2 linked regions of the Oryctolagus cuniculus genome follow. The protein of the gene in region 2 purifies or fractionates together with the protein of the main gene of each other region. This does not show direct contact. Links are inferred from orthologs where the notes say so. Each region holds a gene or a part of one and is shown on either strand. Other genes may lie near its edges.

What was found.
Region 1: the proteins of HEATR3 (region 2) and TMEM186 purify together in Homo sapiens (co-immunoprecipitation; 3 studies listed by BioGRID and IntAct, counting the BioPlex papers as one, with this or other methods). This does not show direct contact. The link is inferred for Oryctolagus cuniculus from reciprocal best matches to the Homo sapiens genes HEATR3 and TMEM186.

What each region holds. Positions count from the first base shown.
Region 1 is NC_091450.1:27,395,635-27,399,536, reverse strand, and holds TMEM186 (transmembrane protein 186), read right to left. Parts: upstream 2,263-3,902; 5' UTR 2,141-2,262; coding exon 2,138-2,140; intron 1,529-2,137; coding exon 890-1,528; 3' UTR 61-889; downstream 1-60. Other genes in the region: PMM2 (phosphomannomutase 2), read left to right, coding at 2,392-2,457. UniProt on the Homo sapiens protein: As part of the MCIA complex, required for efficient assembly of the mitochondrial complex I.
Region 2 is NC_091449.1:33,662,955-33,666,856, reverse strand, and holds the start of HEATR3 (HEAT repeat-containing protein 3), read right to left. Parts: upstream 2,461-3,902; 5' UTR 2,279-2,460; coding exon 2,144-2,278; intron 2,034-2,143; coding exon 1,861-2,033; intron 403-1,860; coding exon 315-402; intron 1-314. UniProt on the Homo sapiens protein: Plays a role in ribosome biogenesis and in nuclear import of the 60S ribosomal protein L5/large ribosomal subunit protein uL18 (RPL5). Required for proper erythrocyte maturation.

The sequences.
Region 1 (3,902 bases), on a different chromosome or scaffold from region 2:
AACTGTACACTTAACATGGTTACAACGATACATTTGTGATGAGTACATGACAATGAAAACAGAGGTGATACGAAATTTATTGACTTATGCGTGGCAAAATCACGAAGACCTTTACCCTGCTACAAGCTACGTGGCCGACACACACACCGATCACGGGAGGCAACACGCAGAGGTAGAGCACTACACACACCCATCTGGCTCCATGACGCAGCGGGACGGCCTCGGCCTGTGGGTGCGGAACATCTCAGCTGGGGCGTCGCGCCTCACTCGGGGTGCAGTTACCATCCTGGGAGGGTGCAATGCCCCCGCCACGCTTCGTCCCACTCTTCTGCTAAGGGGTGCATGGAGAGGCAGAACACAGGGCTCCCGCGCGCTGCCTGAAAGCCCCGACCACCACCTCTGAGCAGACGCTTCCCAGTCGCCCAGGGCTACGGCCTTGCATGTTTACTGTGTGTTCTGACATCCAGCCCACGAGACAGAAAGAACTTTCCGTTTGACAGACGTGAGAAACCAAGGCTCACACAGACTCCGTCAGCTGCCCAGAACAGCGAGCTGACAGCACCCCAAACCCTGTGCTCCTCCCACATCTGTCTTCCAAATACCCGTGAACTGTCCGGGTGACCGTGGCATAGCTTCCTCCAAGAACTGGATCCGAACAGAACCTCCTGGCCATTATCTGCAAGAACAGCACGCGCAAGTGCAGGAAGAATCCGCACTCGGGCGCCTTCCCGTAAACCTGGGTCCGAATTTCTGTGTTCTTCCGAAAAGACAAACTCCCAGGGTTCTGACAGTCTCTAGGGGCCCGATTCCCTCCTTCGGCCTCGTCTACACCCTCAGCCTTCTTGGTTAGTGACCCAAGGGGCCCAGGGCTTCCCAGAGGCCCAGCTGATCACTTGAGCGAGTCCAGTCTCCCAAACACCTGTGTGAAGCGCTCTCTGTCCAGGACGCGCCCGTAGCGCAGAGGTAGGTAGAAGGTCTGCTTCCCGCTGTACTGCTGGATGCGCACAAACACCTCGTGGGGCCGGTCCCTCGTCTCCGTCAGGGGGACCACGTCCGCCACGGGGCAGTACGTGTCCTGTCGCCAGCCCCAGAAGGTGAGGTGAGCCACCCGCAGCACGGTGCCCGACTCGTTCACATACAGGATGCCTACGAGCCTGCGGAAGAAATGGCTCATCCAGCACAGCATGGCCAGGGCGAAGCCAGCTATGCCACCCACCAGGCACAGCGAGTCGAGCGGCATGAGGCCCTGGGAGTACCAGTAGAAGCCGGGCGGCAGAGCCACCAGCGTCAGGGCCGTCTGCGCCACCTTCAGCCGAGATATGTACCCAAACGCTCTGATGGCATCGAAACGGTAGACCATCTGGAACTTCTCGGTCTCTGTGCCCGGGGCTTTCTCCTCGGAACCGGGAGACCTGCTCCGCACCCACCTCTTGGGATCCTCTCGCCCACCGCAGGACCACAGCCCGCAGAGGGGCTTTCCCCAGGCGGCCGGCCCCCGCCACCTGGGCACAGCTCGGAGGAGGGCAGCCTGGAAGGGAGACAAGAGACCGTTTCCTCTCAGAACTCGGCTTCCACCTGCGTGAGTTCGTTAGGCTTTACCAACGGGCACTCAGAACACACTGAACGAGACAACGGTTTTTACGCCGTAAACGCAGCACCACTGTGCATCAGCACCGGCAGGGGCTTGGTTCCGGGATGCACGACAAGACACCCAAACCAGAGGGCTCACGTCTCTTATGCAAAATGGCACAGTGTTTGTGTGATACCTTATACCACTACTACGATGGAAACGCGGCGTAAAGAGTGGTTATGGGGGATTCCTTTGGGAGTAGCAAGAGCCCGTAGGCGTTCCGCACAGACGCAGCTGTCTCGGCAGCTGAGTGAATCCATGGATGGGGAGCGCACGGATAAGCAGCGCCGACTGCTCGGGGCCCACCCTGAGCACCCCCGCGAGGCTCGCTAGCACCGCTGCTGGCCCACGTGACCCCGCAAGACCACAGCAAGCCGTGGAGGAGCACATCGTAACCCACATCGGGGCAATCGCCCCAGGACCCAACAAACCAGAAGCTCAGGATTCCTGCCTGTTTGCCCCAACACTGGCTCCGACCCCGACGCAGCCCATCACCCTCCTCCTTACCATGGCCCTGCTCCCTGGCGCCGGATACAACCTCACCGCCGCCGGAAACTCTAAGGGCGCATGCTCGGACTACGCGCGTTGCATGCTGGGAGTTGTGGTGTAGCGTCCGTGGCCGACGCTAGCCCCGGGCATTGTGGGAGGCTGTGGGAGTCTCTTCCCGACGTGCTCTGCGGCGAAGAGGGCCGAACCCGGAAGTTCCGGGTCGAGGTCCGGGTGCCAACGAGTCGTCTCAGGTGTGGACGGAAACGGGGGCCATGGCAGCTCCGGGACCAGCGCTTTGCCTCTTCGACGTGGACGGGACCCTGACCGCCCCGCGGCAGGTAGGCGGCGCGCAGAGGGCTGGCGGCAGCCGGCACGGAGCACTTTCTGCTCCTAGACGGGACGAACGACCGTCCAGCTTGGGTGCCTGGGTGCAACTGAGGACCGCCTCCCGCCTCCAGGGGCTGCCCTTGGTCTGGGTGCCCCAGCGGCGGGAGACGGGCCTGAAGCAGCTCGTCAAGATCCCGGGGTGCTCGGAGAGGGAGGGCGGGGTCGGGAAACTTGGGTTAGAACAAGCAGCCCGTTCTCTGGCCGCGAGCCCTGAACCCCAGCCGAGGCCCCCTCAGCAGCTGTGTGACCTTCCCCGTCCCGTCGCGCGTGGCTGGACCTTGGAGCGAGATGCTGAAAGCGCAGGGTTCGGGCCGGCGCTGCGGCTGTTACTAGTTAAACATCCGTGTGCCTGCGGCGCCGGCATCCCATATGGGCGCCGGGTTGAGTCCCACCTGCTCCACTTCGGATCCGGCTCCCTGCTGATGGCCTGGGAAAGCTGCAGTGGACGGGCCCGGTCCTTGGGCCCCTGCACCCATGTGGGAGACCCGGAAGAAGCTCCTGGCTTCGGATCAGCGCAGCCGCGGCCCTTGCGGCCATTTAGGGAGTGAGCCCTTGGGTGGAAGACCCCCTCTCTCTATCTCGACCTCTCTCTGTCTGCAACTCTGCCCTCAAATAGATAAATCTTAAAGAAAGAAAGTGTAGATTTCCTAGTCCAGAGGACCTAGCGGAGCCTCAGCTTGGGCCAGTTAGCCCCAGCCGGAAGCGGGGACAGTGCTTGTTACGTGTCATCCGAATAGGACCAAATGCAAGGTGTCTGCTCGCAGTAGGCCTCCGTAAGCACGGGCCGTCTCCACCCGCCCTGTGCAGCCCCTGCCGGGGTCGGGGTCGGGGTCGGGGGGACGTCCTAGGTCGTCACAGGCAGCCTGGTGAGTCTCTGCACCCTTGGAAGCGTGCCCCCCGCGCTCAGATCTGCCTGCTGCGGGCGCGCGTACGTTTCAGCTACGATCAGCTTCGTGGCGAGGCTCTCCCTTGTACAGACTGGTCGCAGGAACACCAGCCATGGGAGGCAGCAGTCAGCACACACCTGTGGGTTGTTAAAAGCCCTTACTGGCGGCCGGCGCCGCGGCTCACTAGGCTAATCCTCCGCCTGGCGGCGCCGGCACACCAGGTTCTAGTCCCGGTCGGGGCGCCGCATTCTGTCCCGGTTGCCCCTCTTCCAGGCCAGCTCTCTGCTGTGGCCAGGGAGTGCAGTGGAGGATGGCCCAAGTGCTTGGGCCCTGCACCCCATGGGAGACCAGGAGAAGCACCTGGCTCCTGCCTTCGGATCAGCGCAGCACCGTAGCGGCCATTTTGGGGGTTGAACCAAGAGAAGGAAAACCTTTCTGTGTCTCTCACTGCCTAACTCTGCCTGTCAAAAAAAAAAAAAAAAAAAAAAAAAAAACCATGCTGGCCTAGA
Region 2 (3,902 bases):
ATCCTAAATGCAACATTTAATTTTTATTCATTGTTTTATTTGAGAAGCAGAGCATCTGAGAGAAAGAGCTCCCATCCACTGGTTCACTCCCCAAATGCTGAGGCTGAGGCTGGGCCAGGTCTGGAGCCAGGAGCCAGGACCTCCACCCAGGTCTCCCAAGTGGGCGGCAGGAACCAGATCACCCGAGCCGTCATCACTGCCCTCTACAGTCTGCGTCAGCAGGAAGCTGGGAATGAAAGCCAGACAGGCACCCCGAGGCGGGACACAGGCACCCCAGGCACTCAGCTAAATGCACGCGCCCCGAGAGCGCCTACCTCTTTCAGAAGCGCAACCAGCGGAGTCATGATATCCTTCGTCACCATGTCGTCACAAACTTCAAAACCTCCACAGGCACTCAGATTTCTAGGCAAGAAGTTTCGATCACGTTTTATTTTCAGTCACACGTCATAAAACGCTATCCCACACTCACATTTACTTCTCCTTTCATTAGACCTAAGGTTTCCCAGGAGACACGGTTTGCTATTTCTGTCACATGCGACAGAACCAGTCCAGAGCTTCCCACCGCTCCTGATCCTTGTCCTACCAGATGCGAGCAGGTGACTGTCACGCAGCCACGTGCTTCTCAGGTCTAAGCACACAGGCACACGGCTACAGGGATGGGCCAGGGAAGACGACGGCACCCACTTCACATCCTAAACGGAGGGACCCTGCCCTGCCATCAACACGCTAAGGGCGGTGAGGGGAGGCCCCTGAGGAGGACACGCCCTGACTCAGCCCTGGCTAAGCTTCACTGGAAGACACTCCTGAGCCACGGCCAGGCAGGAAGAGCGTGCAGAGAAGTCAGGCCGCTCCCACGTCTTCAGGAGCTCACAGTGCGCGTGTCTCCTCGCCGGGGAGGGATGTCCACCCCGTCCCCATAAAGCGGTCAGTGCCCCTCGTTCCTCGGACCTCAACTCTAACATCACTGCTCAGGTCTGTCTCCCCCGAACCCTGGAGCACCTGTGTGGTTGCTACTGGCTGGTCAGCGCAGTAGCTGGCGAACGCCTGTCTGCTTCGGCGGTCTTGGAGAGTCCCTGGAAGTCTCTGTTACTCACGACCCCATGCCCAGAGCACGCTGACATCAGTGAGCACAACGTAAACACAAGAACTACAAGTACTAACTTCTACTCTTGCCCCCTCTACAGTCCATTCTCTGCACAACCAAGAGAATGGCCTCTTCCAAAGGTAAATGGATGAGGTCTCTCCCTTTCTTAGAATAAACCCCACCCCACCCTACTATCCCTCCCCAGCCTCATCTCCTAACCCTTCTAACCCTCAGTTCTGTAGCCACGCCACGCCCTTCGCTGTCTCACTTCTCTGCGGGGAACCCTCTTGCTCCATACTCCCACGCCTGGCTCCCCATCCTGCAAGGCTGAATTCACCACTGCCATCTACAGAGCACCCCCAGCCCAGCACTCTCTTGGCTTGCCTAGCGCTTCTCACTATCTAACATCACGCTTGACCTTGTTCTAGTTTTCCGTCTCCGCATCAACAGAGCTTCTGGGAAGACCGGGCTGTGTTGTTTGTTCCGTGTAGAGCCCTCGCATCTACAACCCCTGGGTGGAAGAGATCATCCAACCACGGGGCCCTAAGGAAGCTTCCTGGAGAGCATAGCAAAGTGCGCCGGTTTGCGGGGCAGGACGTCTAGCAGCACCCGCAGGGACTTGCGTGGGGCCAGAGAGTCCCGGGGTCGGTCCTCCCCGCCCGCCCGCCCGCCCGCCCGCAGACGGGAGACCGCCGCCAGGTTCTCCGCCCTCCCCAGCCCCTTGCAACGAAACGCACAGCACGCGACAAAGTCCCGCACCCGTCCTCCCGGCTCACCTCAGCGCGCCGGCCGCCGTCTCCCTGACCGCCAGGCTGCGGTCCAGCAGCAGCGGCCCGAGCCGACGCACCGCATCCCGGCGCGCCAGGCCCGGGAGCGCCGGCCGCTGCTGCACCAGCCGGGCCAGGCCCGCGCACGCGCACTCGCGGACCTCGGCGCTCGGGTGCTGGAGCTGTGGGACGCGGACGAGGAGGTTAGAGGTGGCCCAGTGCGCACGCGCCCCCGGGGCCGCGGGGGGCCGCCCGCGCCCGCCCCCGCCGCCCCGCGGAGCCCCCGCCTCACTTTTTCCAGCAGCTCCGCCGCCGGCCCGTCGTCCTCCTCGTCTGCAGTTCCGTTCGCCGCCGCCGCCTCGGCCTGACAGTCGCCGGTGGGGGAGAACTGAGGTCGCTTGAAGCGTTTGGTTCGGCTCTTGCCCATGGCGACGTGCACTGCGGGGACAGCCACAGAGAGGAGGGCAGCAGCACGCGGCGGAGACTGCGGGACTGGCGGTACCGTCGTATCGCCCCGGGGGCTGCTGATGGTCCCCGCTCAGCTGGGCCGCCTGACGGCCCGAGCACACATGGTGAGGCAGCGCGCACGCGCGCCGCGTGTCGGCGGCGAGGGCGGGGCTGGCGCGGGGAGCGCGCAAGCGTGGAAGCGGCGTGGGCGTGGCCTGTCCGGGAGAGGGGCGGGGTCCTGTGGCTTTTCCAAGGAAGCAGAGGACTGTTGAATGGTGATGCTGACTTCACGTCCGCCTAGGTGCATAGCTATCAGGTCAGTGTGTATGGGAGAAAACCTTGCTCTTTGGCGACCCTACCCTTTAGACCGACTGTCTAATAAAGGAAATAACATTAACTGGCATAACAGAGGTGTGATTGGCTTGCAGAGGCTGGGGCCTCCCCATGACCGACGATAGGTGCAAGGAAACCTTGGAGCCGCCAGATACCAGGGTCTGTCAGAAAGTTCGGCACAGTGGTTGGGACGCCACTTGGGATGCCCGGTCCCGTGTCAGAGTGCAGTTCCAGACGGTACTGCTTGTGCTCCCGCTTCCTACCAGTGCACCCCTGGGAGCCAGCAGGTGATGGCTCGAGTACTTGGGCCCCTGCCACCCACGTAGGAGAGCCAGATGGAATTCCTGGCTCCTGGCTTAGGCCTGGACCAGCCTGACAGTTTCAGGCATTTGGGGACTGAACCAGAAGACCAGAAGATTTCTCTCTAGCTCTCACTCTTACAAATAAATAAAAATGAACAGAAAACCTTTTTTAAAAATGAAAGGTTTGTGAAAAATGGAGTTCAAAAGTAATTTTATTTTGGTGCAAAAAATTTTTTTAAATGCATGCGCAGTCTTTGCGTGATCCTCTTGAAGATCGAGTCTATGTGTTGGTGGGTTTTTTGCTTCCTAGACGTCTCCTCTGGCCGCTGAGGGCCTGCCGCTTCCCTTCTCTGAGGTGCTCTCTCCACTTCCCTTGACCGCATGGTTCGGGTGTCTCCACCCCTGTGGTGGAATGAGAAGGCCATGCCAAGATGGCTGCTGGCAACGGAGCCTGACTGGCAACAGGCTGTGATGGGATGGCTTCAGAAACTGCCTGGCAACAGGCTGTGATTGGTTAGGGCATAGACCGCCCCTTGACCAGATTGGCTGCCTTGGCTATTTAAGCTGCTGTAGCAACTGAAATAAACGAGTCTGTGGGCTGCTTGCCTCTGGCCCACTGGCCCACTATCACCGGCTCCCGGCTCCCGCCTCCCAGCTCCAGGGATCTGTGGTGACTCTGCGCCTCTTGCCCCCACCATGCTCCTCCTCTCAGAAGGAATCCACCTCAACATCTGGTGCCCAATGTAACTGTGAGAGAGACAGCGTGTTGGACTCTGCAAGGTCCCCCTGGATTTTGGCAAGTAGGCCCCTCGGTGTTTTGTGTGCTGTTAGATTCTGTGAGGGTGAGCACAGAACCCCCTCCTATGCCCCCTTTCCTTGTCCTTGTCCTCAGTCAAAGTGCCCCCAGGTTAGGCACACACCGCCCAGAAGCATAATGCCACTTCTCGGTGCTCCTCCTGTTACTTTTGG